Linked DNA regions of Kluyveromyces lactis. The protein of the gene in region 1 purifies or fractionates together with the protein of each later gene. This does not show direct contact. Links are inferred from orthologs where the notes say so. Each region holds a gene or a part of one and is shown on either strand. Other genes may lie near its edges. The genes, in order: DBP3 and CBF5.

Region 1 (3,612 bases):
CCAGGTGCTTGTGCAGATTTCAAGTATGACTTGCGCTATTTCTATAACGAAAAGGAACATGACTTCGTTGTCAATATGGCTGGGTGTAACTTTGGTAGAGACTGCTGGGGTGAAATGCGCCAATACACTCAACTGATGCAAACTCTTCACCGTAGATGGTACTCGATGTTCTTTTAGATTCTCAATTTCCTTTTGTTTATCACTTCAGTTGTATTTCAAAAATTATGCACTGCTCCATTGTACTAATACTGTAAAATAAAAGGCGAAGGTACAAGAAGATCTTCGATAGAGTATCCCCTTTTATACTTTAATGCTTTCCCTTTCAACACCATTCTTCGTTGCCTTTCAAAGTCATTGTTTGAATATCGCATATTTAATACGTCTTTAATTTCAATTTTTATCGTGAACATTCATTGTACAAACTTCGATGCAAGAGTAATTGTAAACTTTTATTTACTCTGTATTGAATGAACTACTGTACATAATGGGGGTGATTGCTAAAAAATACAAGAATTGTCTTTATAACGGATTTAAATTAATCAAATGTAATCTTTTTTGGTTTCTTTGATAGGTCCACATCCTTGAAGAATGCACCGTACGCACTATGTTCCTTCTTCTTTGTGTGAGTACCGAACTTCTTGAGCTCCTCAGGAACAGGTTGACCAGCACCATTTAAGACATTAACAAGGGCACCTGCAAGATGCTTTTCTTGCTCAGTGAACAATGTGTGTGCGGTACCGTATTGACCAGCACGACCGGTTCTACCAATTCTGTGAACGTAATCTTCTACTGTTAGAGGGAAAGTCAAATTGATAACGGTTTTCACGTTTGGGATGTCTAAACCTCTGGCTGCCACATCAGTAGCTAAAAGTAAGTTACATTTTCCTGCTTTGAATTCATTCAAAGCTTGAGTTCTTTGCTGTTGAGAAAGATCACCGTGAATGGCAGCAACATCGTAACCGTTGTATTTCAAGTTTCTTTCAACACGAGAGGCTTCCTTTTTGTACAAGGCAAATATCAAAACTTTGTCGTTCTTTGTTGGGCCTGAATGGTACTTCTTCAACAGTTCCAACAGTTTTTTTTCCTTTCTGAACGGATCCACAACTTCCACGATCTGAGTAATTCTTTTGTTTGCTGACAGTTCATCTCTGTTACCAATAGACACTTTAACCGGTTCACTCATGAAACTTGAAGCAAGTTCACGAACTTCTTTTGGCCATGTCGCGGTAAACATCAACGTTTGTCTAGAGGTGGATCTTGTTTGTCTAATGATTTTTTTGATATCTTCCTCAAAACCTTTTTCCAACATTCTGTCAGCTTCATCCAAGACCAGGTAGTTAACATGACTCAAATCAACAGAGCCTTCCTCTATTAGATCCAACAGTCTACCTGGAGTAGCAACAACGACTTGGGATCTCCTCAGATCTTCTCTTTGCTGATCCTTTGGAACACCACCGTATACGCAACAAGATCTTAAACCACACGCGTCAGTAAGAACAATCAAATTATCGTAAATTTGAGAGGCCAATTCTCTAGTTGGTGAGATAACAAGTACCTTGACGGAACTTGACTTGTCTCCTGATGTGACAATGTTGTTGATAGCTGGAACACCGAAAGCAAAAGTCTTACCCGAACCAGTTTCAGCGATACCGATAACATCCTTACCAGCTAATAGATATGGCCAGGAAACAGCTTGAATTGGAGTTGGTTTTGGGAACTTAGAAATTTCCTTTTGAATCTGATCAATAAACGACACTTGGGAAAAGTCTAAATATGGTACAATATTGGAACCTGATGGGTCGCTAACTGTAACCTCATTTTCCTTCAAAAATTCATCAATATCAGATTGAGAGGCAGAAGCAGCAAAGCTTTCAGTTTCTGATTTCTTATCCTTTTTCTCCTTCTTTTCTTTCTTCTCCTTCTTATCCTTCTTGTCTTTCTTGTCTTTCTTGTCTTTCTTGTCTTTCTTGTCCTTCTTCAATTTTTTCTTACTCTTCAACTCCTCATCTTCCACCTTTCTCTTCTTGTCCTTTAATTCATCTTTTGACATTCTGGACTATTTGCTTGAGCTCTAATGGTTAAGTATCACTACTACTGCAGATTCTGCAATCATATCATTCGAAAGCACTTAAGTCATCTCATCTCATCTCAGCTTTGTTATATAAAATTTTCAATAATCAAAAAACATTTCTTTTTACTGACGCCAGCTGAATTACAACAAGAGACAAATATATAATTAATATAGCAACGGAGGATCCGTATAATTGATAATATATTCTCAATTAATTCCGATACAGCAGTACCTCAGTTCGTATATATCTAGTAACAATAATTCAAAAGACAATGCAAGTATTATATTTAGTAGGTATATTAAACAGGTGAATAAACGTTAAAAAAGACAAGAAACGAAATGCGATAGGAAGCAGTGTTTATCATTTAGCATCATAAGCATGGAAAGCTTCAGTTGTTACTGACTCCTGATTGCTATCGGTGTTTTCATCTTCTCTGATATAGAAAACTTTCTTTGCCTTAAATTGCCAGAATCCTAAGTAGAATAATAGGAACCCAACAATGACGACTGATGCATAATTCATGTTATCTTTTGTCACTGGCATGACAGCTGGGAAACAGAAAAAGACTAAAGCGAAAAGATTCCAACCCAATAAAACGATATTGGAGAACGCTCCGAATTTTCCTAGCCAAAATGGGCCATGTTTAATATTACGTTTACGCGCCAACAGACATACGACCGGAACACTGTATGAGAACAATAAGAACGCAATACACCCAGTAATTAAAGAATTGAAAGCGGTGGTGGAAGCCATGTATAAGCAACCCAATAGCGAAATCAAGGCACATGACAGCAAGTGCGCGTTCAATGGCACACCCAATTCAGGATCAATTTTAGCCCAGTATTTAGAGTATGGGATACCGTTGTCTCTAGCAAATGACCAACACAATCTTGCTTGCCATGTATGGCATGCAATAACACATCCAAATGAGGTGAAAAGGATGAGGCAACCCAACACTACAGCACCTGGAGTAGATTTGGTAGCTTGACGGAAAATTTCCAAGATTGGCATTCCGGTATTGGATGAAGCAACAGCCTCTAGATCTTGTAAAGAGAAGAACATAGCGATGACGTAACTGAAAGAAGTAAGGAATCCAATGCCCACTGTACATAGAATAGAGATCGGAATCACTCTTTCAGGGTTTTCCACTTCAAAAGCCATGTGAGTGGCACAATCTAGACAAGAGAAGGACCATGCCGGGTTGATTAAACCGACAATGAAGGCAATGACTCCATTTTTCCAGCCAGTTTCGTTATAGAAAGTAGCAAAAACGAACTTGGCATCGTTATATTTACCATGGGAACAAGCTAGCACGGTCACTGTAATGGTGAAAAATGAAATCAATGAGATGTACAATGACGATTGAGAAATGACTGGCAAAGCCTTACCAGAACAGTTGAACATCATCAAGAACAAGTGCAAGATTTGGAAACATACGAATACATGCCATCTCTTGACTTCAAAATCTGGATGGGTCAAAGCGTACATGCCTACCAATTCAGAAGCAACTGAAAGTGTGGTAGATGCACTAGAGAAAATC
Region 2 (3,438 bases), on another chromosome or scaffold:
CAAGGTGACAGAAATAAAAAATAATGAGAGCAGATACAGGGGACTTGAGACAAAAGTTGCAATTTTAAGTAATGAAAACATAGTTTTAAAGTCAAAACATGACGAGGTTATCAAAAAGAAGAAGGAAGACCTTGCATTTTTCAATGAGAAGTTTCAAAAAAGGTTGTTAGCGATGAAACGTGAAATAGATAAAAATGCTGACATGTATCATAATGAACTACAAAGCTACAGGACTAATTACGAGAAAACTTTAAGTAGTGCCTTAAAAGTTACTCTTAAAGCAGAATCTGCGCTTAGTGCCATATACAGCAATAATGTGGATAGATTCGGGTCTACAAACCGGACTTTGAATTATTTTATGAAGAAAAGAGATATGTTCCAAAATATCAGAGACAATATGGTCTCCAACAAGCCCAAACCAGAATACAAACCTGCGATCACCATTACAAGTGTTAGTGATGGCATAGAAAATAAAGACAATAGAAACGAAGAGTTACACTACATATCAGAACAAAAACAAGGTTTTAATGATTCACTCCGTGAGCTTAAAGTAGCCAATGTGAATAGCAACTGTTCCTCAAGGTCGAAACACAACGCTAAACAAATTATACAAAAGCTCCGAGAGTGGAAGCAAAACCAAAACACATCAGAGCTATCGCCAGACAAAGAAGATTCCATATTTTCAACTGGAATTGAGACAGATTATTCAACTTCAAATATCGCACAGTTATCCACTAGGAACTGGGCTAGCGCTTTGAAGAACAACTATAACGCCAAGTACTTGGAATCTATCTGAATGAAAACAGCGTACTAAGTTAACAGAATTTAACCTAACATAATGAACATATTAGCAGCTAGTTTAGTCCATTAAATAAAAATGCAAACTCACTTCCTAGAAGGCTATAAAAACTACTCTCACTTGGCAATGCTATTTCCAATGTCTGTCATATATACTTAAACGTCAAGGTGAATATAATTCATTACCCGGAAATAATTGCTTTTTGAGATATCTGAAAATTTTCTACCTGAAGAAAAAAATTTGATGAAGACGATGAGATGAGATGAGCTTTAACAAGAAAAGTATAGAGTTCTATTAGAAGTAGATTCATCTTACTGGACTAAAAACTGTCACTTTAGTGTAGATTCTGCTTTACGATATTGTTGCTACTATCCTTTTATTGTTTTCTCTCGATATTTGAAGGAGATAGTGTACTGGATTGTTCGTTAGAAAGCTAATAAGTAAGATAGAGATCGATGTCTGACGAATTTGTTATTAAGCCAGAGAGTGTTTCACCATCTAGTAACACTAGTGAGTGGCCTTTATTGTTGAAGGACTATGACAAACTATTAGTCAGAAGTGGTCATTACACACCAATTCCAGCTGGTGCCTCTCCTTTGAAGAGAGATTTGAAGTCATATATCAGTTCTGGTGTCATCAATTTGGACAAACCTTCAAACCCATCTTCTCACGAAGTTGTTGCTTGGATCAAGCGTATCTTGCGTTGCGAAAAAACAGGTCATTCTGGTACTTTAGATCCTAAAGTCACTGGTTGTTTGATCGTCTGTGTTGACAGAGCTACCAGATTGGTCAAGTCTCAACAAGGTGCTGGTAAAGAGTATGTTTGTATCGTTAGATTGCACGATGCCCTTAAGGACGAGAAGGAATTGGGCAGAGGTTTAGAAAATTTGACTGGTGCTTTGTTCCAAAGACCTCCTTTAATTTCTGCTGTTAAGCGTCAATTACGTGTCCGTACCATTTATGACTCCAACTTGATCGAATTTGACAACAAGAGGAACTTGGGTGTTTTCTGGGCTTCCTGTGAAGCTGGTACTTATATGAGAACTTTATGTGTCCATCTTGGTATGCTTTTAGGTGTCGGTGGCCATATGCAAGAGTTGCGTCGTGTTAGATCCGGTGCTTTGTCCGAAAACGATAACTTGGTCACCCTACATGATGTTATGGATGCACAATGGGTATACGATAACACCAGGGATGAATCCTACCTAAGAAAGATCATTCAACCATTAGAAACTCTATTAGTCGGTTACAAAAGAATTGTTGTCAAAGATTCTGCTGTTAACGCTGTTTGTTACGGTGCCAAGTTGATGATTCCAGGTCTACTTCGTTATGAGGAAGGTATTGAATTATATGACGAAGTTGTATTAATCACCACCAAGGGTGAGGCCATTGCAGTTGCCATTGCTCAAATGTCTACTGTCGATTTAGCTACTTGTGACCACGGAGTTGTTGCCAAGGTTAAGAGATGTATCATGGAAAGAGACCTATATCCAAGAAGATGGGGTCTTGGTCCAATTGCCCAAAAGAAAAAACAAATGAAGGCTGACGGTAAGCTAGACAAATATGGCCGTGCCAACGAAAATACTCCAGAGACCTGGAAGAAGACTTACGTTTCATTGGAGAATGCTGAACCAACTACCGCCCCTGCATCCAAATCAGAAGAAAAACCACTGATCAAAGAAGTAGAAAAGAAGGAAGTCGAACAGAAGGAAGAATCAAAGGAAGAATCAAAGACACCAGAAGAAAAGAAGGACAAGAAGGAAAAGAAGGAGAAGAAGGACAAGAAGGAGAAAAAGGAAAAGAAGGAGAAGAAGGAGAAGAAGAGAAAGGCTGACGATGATGAGTCTTCCGAGAAGAAGAAGAAGAAGTCAAAGAAATAAACGACTACAATCTAAGTCCTTCATATCATCGATCGAAATTTCAAAACTGCATAGAGTTTATCATTTAGGTTATGTACACTGTAGAATATTTTTAATCATTGAAAAACGTATTTCGTCACGACTGTTTTTTGTACCCTGTGTCGATGTTGTATATCATTGTATTCGTATATATAAATTTGTAAATTATTTATGCGCGTGTGAAGACACCATTACGTCTTCAATTGAAGTAATGGCAAAAAGTAATGGTAAATGTATGAGGTAGATAGAAGATTTGATAATAATACTTGGAGTTTTTTTTTTTTTGGCAGACATCAATTGTTCGGAACCAAATAGAAGTCGGGAAACTTGCAGATTGGTATGTCTTTTATTTGCATGATGTCATTTGCTCAATAAAAAGGTAAATGAAGGTTAAAATCTATGCAAATGGTTACATTGTGAACAGAAGTCGAGGTGTCACAATGAAACGTCCCGTTTCTTACTTTACCAGTATTAACAATCATTGAATAATTCTCCTTGTATTCTCTCGCATATTATATTGCGTCCTCAACTTATGTTGCGTGCTTCATTTACCGAAGGATATTTTTTTGAAAATAGTGTACAGTGTGGTCAGAAAGTTAACGCATTAATCGACAGACAATGTAGCCATACGATAAGATTGCTTCTGCTGAAGTGAATGTGAATGGAACATTTGAATTGGAAATAATTAATGGGAGTAAACATTTAAAGAAATGAAAACATATGACATAGAACCATAATGGT

The links.
Region 2: the proteins of DBP3 (region 1) and CBF5 purify together in Saccharomyces cerevisiae (affinity purification with mass spectrometry; 3 studies listed by BioGRID). This does not show direct contact. The link is inferred for Kluyveromyces lactis from reciprocal best matches to the Saccharomyces cerevisiae genes DBP3 and CBF5.

What each region holds. Positions count from the first base shown.
Region 1 is NC_006039.1:1,344,666-1,348,277, forward strand, and holds DBP3 (RNA-dependent ATPase DBP3), read right to left. Parts: upstream 2,051-3,612; coding exon 536-2,050; downstream 1-535. Other genes in the region: MNN10 (alpha-1,6-mannosyltransferase), read left to right, coding at 1-177; HNM1 (Hnm1p), read right to left, coding at 2,433-3,612. UniProt on the Saccharomyces cerevisiae protein: ATP-dependent RNA helicase required for 60S ribosomal subunit synthesis. Involved in efficient pre-rRNA processing, predominantly at site A3, which is necessary for the normal formation of 25S and 5.8S rRNAs.
Region 2 is NC_006040.1:408,051-411,488, forward strand, and holds CBF5 (pseudouridine synthase CBF5), read left to right. Parts: upstream 1-1,254; coding exon 1,255-2,679; downstream 2,680-3,438. Other genes in the region: KLLA0_D04774g (uncharacterized protein), read left to right, coding at 1-796. UniProt on the Saccharomyces cerevisiae protein: Catalytic subunit of H/ACA small nucleolar ribonucleoprotein (H/ACA snoRNP) complex, which catalyzes pseudouridylation of rRNA. This involves the isomerization of uridine such that the ribose is subsequently attached to C5, instead of the normal N1.